Linked DNA regions of Xenopus tropicalis. The main gene of each other region encodes a partner of the protein of the gene in region 2 in a complex. Links are inferred from orthologs where the notes say so. Each region holds a gene or a part of one and is shown on either strand. Other genes may lie near its edges.

Region 1 (3,751 bases), on a different chromosome or scaffold from region 2:
CTGGTACAGTTATGGTATCCGGGTGGGTTTTCTACTCTGCGCCGGGCCCTTCCAAAGATTGTGGGATTGGGGATGGGGGGGGGGGCGATTGTGAATCAGTGCAGTTGCCATTTGTTTGTGTAGCCACATGGTACAATATCCAACCAATCAGCAAAGAGTATAATAAAAAATAATCAGCCCATGAGCGGGCAGTAGAGGGATAGTTCACCTTTAAATTAACTTTGAATATTACCCTGTAAATTATACTAAGAAAGAAAATTTGCAGTTGGTCCTCATTTTTTATGTTTTTTTTATAATTTCACTTTACATTCAGCAGATCTCACCCCACCATCACCTTGTTCCACTTAAATCACTGAAGTGATGGATTTCTGGGACTTGACGTCCCTCTGCTTTCAAGAGAATCTGTGAACCACCCACTATCTGTGAAACTCCCACTATGATAAGCAGAGGGATTTTAAGGGAAGTGTTTCATTACACTGTGAGCCTAAAGGGAGTGGTGTAGGAAACAGTTCATACAAGTAATATGGCACACAAGTAATATCCAAATCCTGCTGAAAAAAAAAAAAAAAAAAACTAGGGGGCAGATGTATCATAATGTGAATTTAGCTTAATACATAAAGTCTAACCAGAAAGTGCTTTTTTTGAATAATGAAAGAGAATATGCAGTAACACATCTTTCCAATACACATTAAACATGTTCAATTGTTTGTAAATTTAAAAAGCAGCATCTGACTGGCTGTTTACATTCACTGCAATTCTGGTTCTGACTCCTGAAACAATGTAGCAGAAGTTAGTCTGGAAATTACTGGCTAAATAGCAGATACATTCACATATAACTTAAAAACCACAGACAATCTTCCTACCTGTAGCCACAATATTTCTGATTTTTTTACCATATGACTGGTGACTCTCAGGTGTGGAAGTTTCTCTGGGGCTGGGCCTGCTTGCTGCCTCTTACTCTTTTCTCTGAATCCCCATGCAGCTGCTGGCCTTGGGTCCCGCCCAGTGCACTAATATTGGTAATATTGGAAATATCCCAGTTTGCTTTTCTATTGCTCTACGCTGTGGCTCTGCAATGTACCGGGAGGCACAGCAATGAATCAGCAGCCAACAGGTAGGTACATGACATCACACAGCAAGAGATGCGGCAGCAGAAACCTTAGAGAACTGCTCTGTTATTGACATAAGACCCTCCCCCATAGCAATATGAACAAAACACTGGAAAGCCTAGAGAGACCTCAAAAAGCAAATTCTCCTTAATTGCATTATCGTCATCCCATCAATATTTCAGCCTGTGACATATCGTTCCAGCATAGGCTCCTTGGTAGCATCAATAGAGCTCAGAGGAGGTTTGTTACAGGCAAGTAGCCAGGGTCAGCCAAGGACAATGAGAGAGCAACATCCCATACCCAACAGGGCTGTGCTGTGTTGCAGGGGTCTGGGGGGGTCCCTTCAGTAATTGGTGAAGCTGAATGTTATTGTGATTCTTATATGTTATTGCTTATTTTTCTTTTCAGGTCCTCTCCTAATCCATGTTGGCTTCAAAACTGGTTGCTAGGGTGATTAATGCCTAGAAACCAGATAGCAGTCAAGAGCTGCAGAAAATAATGTAAATGATTCAAAAACCACAAAAAAAAAAAATAAAAATGAAGATCAATGGCAAATTGTCTTAGAATTCTGCTTTCGACATCATTCTAATATGTAATTGATTCCCATGTTCTCCCTGAGATGAGTGCATTGGTCAAAATTCCTCTTTTACCACAGTCCTGACAGTGATTATCTTGGTGCAAGAGCTCACAATCAGATTTCCTTTTATTAATAGAACAAGGAATGTACCAGTCATAATAGCCTTCCCATCATTTCAATTCCTGCCCATATAACGGCAGACTGGGCAAAGTATGGCAATAGGCACCAGCCTAAATTCCAATGTTAATGTCCTATCCTGGGCTGGCACTACTAAACATCCACTGTATTAGGGCATGACAGAGATGGCACGGAATTAGCCCTGGGACCCCAGATTTAAAAAATCCCCTTGGAGGAAAAATGTTGCTTTAGCACATACCTCAGAGATGTTCAACCTAAACCTATTGGGAGGGTGCTGGCACCCAGCTGTAGTTCAACAACAGGGTCACAGCTTGGTAAGCCCAGAATCACATCAATCAATAACATCATCAACTCATTACTCCGCAGGGGGCGGCAGAACCATACTAACAAGTGGGTTGATTTACAAGACTGCAGCTGGGAAGGGAAAAGGGCTAGCACCACAGTTATTTGCCCCAATTAAAGTTCCCATAAATAGTGTTGGCAACTTTCCTTCTCTAATACAGCAAACAGCATAGCAAAACTGAAACAAAAACCCAGCTTCAACTATTACAATATCCCACCCCCGTTTGTATATATAAGAATAAATAGGAAAATCATTTCTGCAGCCCCTGCAACAGGAAACCAAAGACCCAATCAGGAACGCCCAGCGATCGCAGCTACTTACCGCAGGACTGTAGCAGGTGATCCCCCCCACATTAAAGTCAGCTGCTCTCCCTCGCATAGAACATAATACCTAGATCAAGCATTAGGGCAAAAGGCGCAATTTTTGCGAAGAGCAACAGATCTTTCAGCAGGCAATGTGTGGCGCTGCCCGGTGCCGCTATGTGAGCTGAGCACATACAAGCAGAGCAGCAGGGAGCAGATGAATGGGCGGCTTGGGCGTTGCTCTCTATGCAGCTGCTGCATTCACCGCTCAGGAACAATGTGGGCAGCCCACGCCCAGAGAGCTACTAAAAACCACGCCCCCAATGCAGTCAATCAAGAGTGCCTTCAAGTTGTGATTGGCCGAGGAGGAAGGACTTAGGCGGGAAGGGCATCCCTTGGGTTTGTTATTAGTTGGAGTCGGGGAAGGGGACCCATAGGGAAACGGATTCATTCATTTAGTACATTTACAAGTTTTGCGTTTTTATGTGGTGTTTGCGCTAGCGTTGCGTTACAAAGGTTTGTTTATGACTGCTGGACTCCTAAGAATAATGCGCTTATAGAATTGTTAATGTCTACCCATGTGCTGCTCTGTATCTCACAGGGGTAACTTGCCCACTTGGGCGCATTTTACTACCCGGTGCCGATGTATGCCTTTACAGCGTCTGGCGCGCAGTTTTGCAATTATGCTCTGAATTGTGGGAAGGAATTTTGCATTTTTTTTTTTTTTTAAAGTGTGCTGATTTTTGCATTCTGCAATCGGCGTTAATAAATGAGCTCCAGAGTGTTGGCTTTTGCCTGTGTAATATCATGTAAAGTAGTGTAACTTTACTGCTGGCCTGCAATAGCTTGTTTGGGCCATTCCATTAGCTCAGTGCTGTCCAACTGGCGGCCCACGACCCCCATCTGTGTGGCCCCCCACCTGTCTGGCTGCTTTGATGGCTTACCTTTGTGTAAGATTTAAATGGTATCAGTACTGTGATTAACTGGCCCCCCTGCATGGTTCTCACCTCAGATTCAGGCTGTAATCCCCCTGTATTGTTTAAACATGTAATCCCCTGTGTTGTTCACACCTTTTAATCTCTGCATTGTTCAACCCCTGCAGTGTTCACACCTCAGGCTCAGACTGTAGTCACTCCCATTGTTCACTTCTTCACACCTCAGACATGGTACTGTAGGCAGAGTATGGCACATACAGCCAGCATAGGGCAAGGAGGGTATGGCACACACAGGCAGCATAGGGCAGGGAGGGTATGGCACACACAGGAAGGGTAGGGCAGGCAGA
Region 2 (3,651 bases):
TTATCAAGCAGAAAATTATGCTTGCATTAAAAGCTACAGAGCTTCAGGGCTCATTATTAAATTCTGATGCAAAATGCGCTGGTGTCGGAAATTACATATAATACAGTTATGAGTGAATTATTAATCAGGCTTGCATTGTAACTTGTATATTATATTTACACACTCACGCATATTGCAAGTCGGTCCCTAAGCTCAGATAACTGTCAGCAGAACAGAGCATGTACACTGAATCAAGAAATTGACAAGCAACTGGGGCATCTTTGGAGACACCGATCTTCCCTGCTAAAGGGCTGTGGTTGCCTTGGGCTGGTACAGAAGCCCAAAACATAATGGGCAGCATTTCTTCCCTACTTCTTTGTTAAGCTTTAGTTCCTATTTAAAGCATTACAGTAATTTTCCAAGCCTCTGAAAAAAATGTCCAGATATAGTTTAATGATATATGGGGATGAATGTGATTTGTAAACTAAAAGTGCTTGAGGTCTTTCTGGAGTTGAAAAAAAATGGTTGTAGCACAGTCAAAAAATAATAAATACATTTTAATTATAGAAAAAGCATACATAAAACCAAAATTAACAAAAAACATGTGTTGGTTACAGATAAATTCAAAATAGAAGTTTACAATATTCATACCATACCAAATGACAAAGTGCATCCTAGTGCCAAATAGTCCCCAGGCTCCTTCCAATGCATTTTATGCCATTGGGTGCTTTATCAGAAGAGGAACAGAGAAACAAACAGGATGTCTTAGACATGCAAACCCTACTATCTGTGACAAGATTTTAGACCTTGTGTAATGTTTAATACATTAAACATAAAAAAGAAAGGAAAAAAAAATACCCATGATAATGTAATACTTGGAAACTAAATTCACCCTCAAAGACATATTGGCATCTTTTTTTTTTTTTTTCCTGTTACTTTTTTCTGGTAAGCTTATTTATTTATTTTGGCGATAACATACTAAGAAAAAAAAAAACGAATTGGTTCCAGGATGCACTTTAGTGATTTTATCAAGACTGCAGGTTTTTCAGGGCCAAATCAGGCTGATCCAATTGTTCGGCCCCCAGGCCAACAATCAGTTCATAACCGTATGTAGGCCTGTCAGGAGAAGACCATATTAATGCACCAATGCACCCATATATTGTCAGGGAGGTTGTGGAAAAGGGCCCATACACAGACAAGCTGCTGACTTGATCTTAGGCTAATGCCAGACGAGGCGTAGGGCGGATATTTTCAGCAAGCGGAAAAGCGCTTGCAGAAAATTCCGCCCTCCGCCTCCTACATGTGCCTGCACCCGAATGAATGAGATACTTTTGCATTATCTCACGTTTTCATGTGTATATCAGCTACATGTGCCTGCATCCGAGCGTATCTCATTCATTTGGGTGCAGGAACATGTAGGAGGAGTAGGACGGAATTTTCAGCAAGCACTTTTCTGCTTGCGGAAAATATCCGCCCTACGCCTCGTCTGGCATTAGCCTAAAGGGCCTTGGGTCTGTAAGTAATCGCTGTTTGTTGGCCATAGTAAACTAAAAGGGTTCATTTCTGATGTCCAAATGCTAAAGTGGTGATTATTTCTCTTATTTTCGCTACATTTATATTATTAGCCCTGGTCCCTTAAAAGAGTAAAGGGACTAATTAATTACGTTTGTTAAAGTAAGATTGTTTTCTACATTGTTAAAATGTGTGCAATGCTCTAAGAAATTCACCCAACTTATTCTTAAATCTCAGCAATTAGAAGAAAAGAGTGAGGATGAGGAAGATAAAGAATGTTTAAAGCAGTCAATAACTGCTCTACTAAACCTTCAGAGCAGCATGGAAAGAATATGTTCCAAGAGCCTTGCTAAGAGGCGACTCAGGTAAATCCATGTTATAGGTAACCATTGGTACAAACTGCAATAATCCAAATGTTTGTGCAAATTCAGAATATTATTCTGACTGCATTATTGTAGACACAGAAATTCAACATTATGTAATAGTAGCACTTGACTGTGGTGTGATGACATCATATGGGTTGCTAAGCATGTATTCTGAGGACTTAACAAATTAGGAGCAAGTTATTTCCTCTGGGACCCCCAGGTTCAAGTTACACCTTTCGTGAGAGCAGGTGGTATTTTGATATGTTAACGATAAGCAAAATAGTGCTATTTTTGTACTGAAATTATTATATATATCTAAATGCAGAGTAAAAATTGTCTAGAAAAAAGTTAATCTAATTCTCAATACTGACTCCATTTAACATTATACAACAAGCTGTAAAGATTTTCTTATGGTATACATAGCTTTGTGTTTCTGTTTAATGGTCACTACTTATTCAGGATCATAATCAGTAAGCAATGCAAAACATTTTTGGGGTGCTCTCTATATTTTTTTTAATGCAACAAATTAAAGTTACCATTTAGTAGTGTTCAGGGAGTTGCAAAACAATGCTGCTTTTTGCTGTTTCTACAGTACAGTGGGACAGTCTGATACATTTCCCCCCTTGTGTCAAGTGATTTTGGAAGCAATTCAAAATGGGAGTGGTTTTTGCCTTTATGTTTTTAAAGGAAGTGACATTAAGGCACACAGTGTGTGTTATTGTTTAAAAACCTCTCATAGTTTGCTCCATTTGCAAGCTGTAACGTAGGACATTCCTGCACAGCCGTCAAGCGTCATTACTGGACACTTCTTTCAGGTTTGATCAATATTGCAAGAATAATGTGAATATTTCCATGCATTGGCTGTCTGTCTGCTATTAAGGCCTTAATTCTTTTCATTAATATTTCTTTAGTAGTTTACAGTGGGGTCAGAGACCTAGCTCTTAAATATGCCTAAGTTTTAGTTTGAGTCATATTAGGGTGGATGTTTACTAACAAATAATTTTTACAGACAAAGAAATACTTTGGTATTTCTTTTATATGGGCAATTTAGATAATTACTGATCTTGATTTGTATATTTTCTAGTAGAACCTGAGAAGTAAAAAGGATGGTAATTTATCTTTCTAGCTGTCCTTTTTTTCCTGCATTCAATAGTCTCCAGAGTATGTTATATTATGTTGTATGTAAATGCAACAATTCTTTCAGGAACTGTTGCTTGAAGATTCCTACTAAATTTTTAACTTACCATCTGTCAGATAGACTTGTAAGGACAAAACACTGCATATTTGTGGTGGCGCAACTTCAGAAAACCGTAGTGATGCATAGGCCTTTCTACCGGCGATCCCTTTGTTGCTGTTGGAAAGGCATTTCAGAGAGATTAGTTGCCTGTGGTAGCAGAGATCTATTGCAGGCAGCTAATCTCTCCACAGGACATTCCCTAACCCGTTATTCTTGCCAGATCCAATATAACAAGCAAAACAGTTGGAACTGTATCATAAAAGCATAATTCAGGGTAAACCTTATTTATTTTTGTCATCAAGCAGCCACATATGATAATCCTTTTTTGTCTTTTCTTTTTTTCATACAGTGAATCTGCATGTCGATTTTATAGTCAGCAAATGAAGGGGAAACAACTAGCTATTAAGAAAATGAATGAAATTCAAAAGAACATTGATGGATGGGAGGGAAAAGACATTGGGCAGTGCTGTAACGAATTCATCATGGAGGGAGCCTTAACACGTGTTGGGGCTAAACACGAAAGACACATATTCCTATTTGATGGTTTGATGATCTGTT
Region 3 (3,751 bases), on a different chromosome or scaffold from region 2:
TGTTATACAGATAGCTAGAATCTCAGCCATAAAGCAGGGCAGGACTGCTGCTTACAATGGGGGGATCAGATAGGATCTGTGCCACTGTGACAGAATGCTCTGTTATACAGATAGCTAGAATCTCAGCCATAAAGCAGGGCAGGACTGCTGCTTACAATGGGGGGATCAGATAGGATCTGTGCCACTGTGACAGAATGCTCTGTTATACAGATAGCTAGAATCTCAGCCATAAAGCAGGGCAGGACTGCTGCTTACAATGGGGGGGATCAGATAGGATCTGTGCCACTGTGACAGAATGCTCTGTTATACAGATAGCTAGAATCTCAGCCATAAAGCAGGGCAGGACTGCTGCTTACAATGGGGGATCAGATAGGATCTGTGCCACTGTGACAGAATGCTCTGTTATACAGATAGCTAGAATCTCAGCCATAAAGCAGGGCAGGACTGCTGCTTACAATGGGGGGATCAGATAGGATCTGTGCCACTGTGACAGAATGCTCTGTTATACAGATAGCTAGAATCTCAGCCATAAAGCAGGGCAGGACTGCTGCTTACAATGGGGGGATCAGATAGGATATCTGCCCTCTGGTACAGAATAGTAGGCAATTAATTTACCCCTCTGCTTTAGTTCAGTGGCAATTTCAGGCCCTTCGTCCTCCATGTATTAAGGGCCACAGATGAAGTCATGTGACCCCCAGTAGAAACAGAGGGGGATATGTAACCCGTCCCCCATTTCTCTATACAGAACATTACTGATGCCCCTATACCGACAAACTAGGGGTATTTACCCTTTTAGCACCTTAAATATTAAAGTCCTATTCTTGTGGTTGGGGGGGGGGGGGGGGGACTAGGAGTCAAAAATAGGCCCAAAGAACTGCAGGGGGCATTCCCTAGAGACCCTGTAAAGAAGTATAACGGACAAAGACAACACATCCTGGGGGGGGGGGGGGGTAATTGTGGTCCCAGGGAATTACCCCTAAACGCAGTACCCCAATAAGCTGAAAAAAGAGACAAATGGGGCACAAGTAGACAGAGACCAATCAAAGCAGGGGGGCAGAATGGGAGAGAGAGGAATAAAGCCCCAAGGGGGGCAGAATGGGAGAGAGAGGAATAAAGCCCCAAGGGGGGCAGAATGGGAGAGAGAGGAATAAAGCCCCAAGGGGGGCAGAATGGGAGAGAGAGGAATAAAGCCCCAAGGGGGGCAGAATGGGAGAGAGAGGAATAAAGCCCCAAGAGGGGCAGAATGGGAGAGAGAGGAATAAAGCCCCAAGAGGGGCAGAATGGGAGAGAGAGGAATAAAGCCCCAAGAGGGGCAGAATGGGAGAGAGAGGAATAAAGCCCCAAGAGGGGCAGAATGGGAGAAAGAGGAAAGCCACAGGGGTAGGGGGCAGAATGGGAGAAAGGAATAAACCCCTGGGGGGGCAGAATGGGAGAAAGGAATAAACCCCTCGGGGGGCAGAATGGGAGAAAGGAATAAACCCCTCGGGGGGCAGAATGGGAGAAAGGAATAAACCCCTCGGGGGGCAGAATGGGAGAAAGGAATAAACCCCTCGGGGGGCAGAATGGGAGAAAGGATGAACCCCTGGGGGGCAGAATGGGAGAAAGGAATAAACCCCTGGGGGGCAGAATGGGAGAAAGGAATAAACCCCTGGGGGGCAGAATGGGAGAAAGGAATAAACCCCTGGGGGGCAGAATGGGAGAAAGGAATAAACCCCTGGGGGGCAGAATGGGGATCCCCTTGGGATCAGTGGGTAAAGCAAGGGAAGGCAGGGGGGGTAGGAAGAAAGGGACCAGCAGCCACTTGCCCCAAGGGGTACAATACAGAGAGAACAGATCAGGAGGCAGTAATACCCCTGGTGGGGTAAATATAGGGGATCGCTAGGGGCAGGAATAAAGGGCCCAAAGCAACTACCGGCCGGGGGTAAATATAGCAGTTACACCCATGGGCCCAGGAAGGATGAGTAGTTACCCGCAAGGGGCAGATAGAGAGAATCAGAAGCCAATTAGCCCCACGGTGGGGTAGCTGAGGGGGATCAGGAGATCCTTATACCCCGGGGTGGGGGGCAAATTGTAACCGGCCAGTTACCCAGAGAGAAGGCCAAATACCAGCCCCCGGCTGCAGTTAACCCCCAAGGCTTAGTACCCACATACCCCCCGCTGGGGTAACTAGCCAGGCATTGTACCCCCCGGGCCGCACTCACTCACCGGTATGCTGGCGGCTGGGGCTCACGGCTGCATGCTTCCCCCTGGGGATGGGGCCCGGGCTGGAGCAGAGAGAGAAGGCGGCGCTGCCGGTCCCGCACACACAGGCCTGGGCCGGAGACTCCCAGGGGCTCTTTAAATACGAGCTATAAATACAACGGGGATTCGCCGGTGACGTCAGAGCGATTTGGCCTCCCTCATTGGCTGAAGGCGGAATGCAAATGAAAGCGCCCCGCCCCGAACGCTAGGCTACTCCCCGATGGTACCGCCCCCCTGGTGTGACGTACGGGCCGAGGGGCGTGGTGTCCTGGTTACTATTGAGTAAAGGGCAAGTAAGCCTGATAATTCGTCTGCAGGAAATGCCATGACGTAACGCTCAGATCTTTAACCCTGAGAGCAGTGAAGCTGCCATACTGTCTGTCCGTGTGTGTGAAAACTTGTAATTGTCTATCATTTAATCAAGTACTGAAAGAGAGAAAGTGGCGGATAAAGTAGTAAATACTATTTTCCCTATTCATTTGGAAGCAGGGTGGTAAACTGCAGAGAAAATACTCATTTGCAATTGGTCTTCATTTTTTATTATTTGTAGTTTTTTAATTATTTCAATTCTTGTTCGGCAGCTCTCCCGTTCCACTGCTATCTGGCTGCTAGGGCTCCAATTACCTTAGCAACCAGGGAGTGGTATGAATGAGAGACAGGAATATGAATAGGGGAGGGGCTGAATAGAAAGATAAGGAATAAAAAGTAACAGTAACAATAAAACTGGAGCCTCACAGAGCAATAGGGTTTGGTTGCTAGGGTCCAAGTTACCCTAGCAACCAGCGAGTGGTATGAATGAGAGACTGGAATATGAATAGGGGAGGGGCCGAATAGAAAGATAAGGAATAAAAAGTAACAATAACAATAAAACTGGAGCCTCACAGAACAATAGGTTTTGGCTGCCGGGGTCAGTTATCCTGTTGCTAGGGTCCAAATTACCTTGGCAACCAGGGATGAGAGACTGGTATATGAATAGGGGAGGGGCTGAATAGAAAGATAAGGAATAAAAAGTAACAATAACAATAAAACTGGAGCCTCACAGAGCAATAGGGTTTGGCTGCCGGGGTCAGTGACCCCCATTTGAAAGCTGCAAAGAGTCACAGAATTCAAAAATTATAAGAAATAAATAATGAAGACCAACTGAAAAGTTGCTAAGAATAGACCTTTGAGTTAACTTATGATGTAGAGAGTGATATTCTGAGACAATTTGCAATTGGTCTTCATTTTTTATTATTTGTAGTTTTTAATTATTTTACATTTTGTTCAGCGGCTCTCCAGTTTGGAATTTTAGCAGCTATCTGGTTGCTAGGGTCCAAATTACCTTAGAAACCGGGGACTTGCTAAGGTAGAGTTGCAATGAGAGACAGGAATATGAATAGGAGAGGGGCTGAATAGAAAGATAAGGAATAAAAAGTAACAATAACAATAAAACTGGAGCCTCACAGAGCAATAGGGTTTGGCTGCCGGGGTCAGTGACCCCCATTTGAAAGCTGCAAAGAGGCAGAAGAAG

Evidence for each region.
Region 1: the proteins of sos1 (region 2) and hras are in contact, whole or in part, in a crystal structure (PDB 4NYM), measured with the Homo sapiens proteins. The link is inferred for Xenopus tropicalis from reciprocal best matches to the Homo sapiens genes SOS1 and HRAS. Residues at the interface, in NP_005624.2 of Homo sapiens: Glu589, Lys602, Trp809, Thr810, Lys814, Leu822, Met824, Ile825, Arg826, Thr828, Thr829, Thr832, Glu836, Asn869, Leu872, Val875, Ser876, Asn879, Ser880, Ser881, Tyr884, Ser908, Asp910, His911, Tyr912, Lys913, Leu916, Phe929, Phe930, Gly931; in NP_001123914.1 of Homo sapiens: Gly13, Gly15, Ser17, Ala18, Thr20, Ile21, Gln25, Asp30, Glu31, Tyr32, Asp33, Pro34, Thr35, Glu37, Tyr40, Arg41, Asp54, Ile55, Leu56, Asp57, Thr58, Ala59, Gly60, Gln61, Glu63, Tyr64, Ser65, Ala66, Met67, Arg68.
Region 3: the proteins of sos1 (region 2) and krasl are in contact, whole or in part, in a crystal structure (PDB 8BE4), measured with the Homo sapiens proteins. The link is inferred for Xenopus tropicalis from reciprocal best matches to the Homo sapiens genes SOS1 and KRAS. Residues at the interface, in NP_005624.2 of Homo sapiens: Lys602, Trp809, Thr810, Lys814, Leu822, Met824, Ile825, Arg826, Thr828, Thr829, Thr832, Leu833, Leu872, Val875, Ser876, Asn879, Ser880, Ser881, Pro882, Tyr884, Ser908, Asp910, His911, Tyr912, Lys913, Phe929, Phe930, Gly931, Ile932, Leu934; in NP_001356715.1 of Homo sapiens: Ser17, Ala18, Ile21, Gln25, Asp30, Glu31, Tyr32, Pro34, Thr35, Glu37, Tyr40, Asp54, Ile55, Leu56, Asp57, Thr58, Ala59, Gly60, Gln61, Glu63, Tyr64, Ser65, Ala66, Met67, Arg68, Asp69, Gln70, Tyr71, Arg73, His95.

The regions. Positions count from the first base shown.
Region 1 is NC_030680.2:34,323,907-34,327,657, forward strand, and holds the start of hras (GTPase HRas), read right to left. Parts: upstream 2,601-3,751; 5' UTR 2,489-2,600; intron 1-2,488. UniProt on the Homo sapiens protein: Involved in the activation of Ras protein signal transduction. Ras proteins bind GDP/GTP and possess intrinsic GTPase activity.
Region 2 is NC_030681.2:42,937,888-42,941,538, forward strand, and holds part of sos1 (son of sevenless homolog 1), read left to right. Parts: intron 1-1,728; coding exon 1,729-1,856; intron 1,857-3,442; coding exon 3,443-3,651.
Region 3 is NC_030679.2:2,106,004-2,109,754, forward strand, and holds the start of krasl (GTPase KRas), read right to left. Parts: upstream 2,346-3,751; 5' UTR 2,206-2,345; intron 1-2,205. UniProt on the Homo sapiens protein: Ras proteins bind GDP/GTP and possess intrinsic GTPase activity. Plays an important role in the regulation of cell proliferation.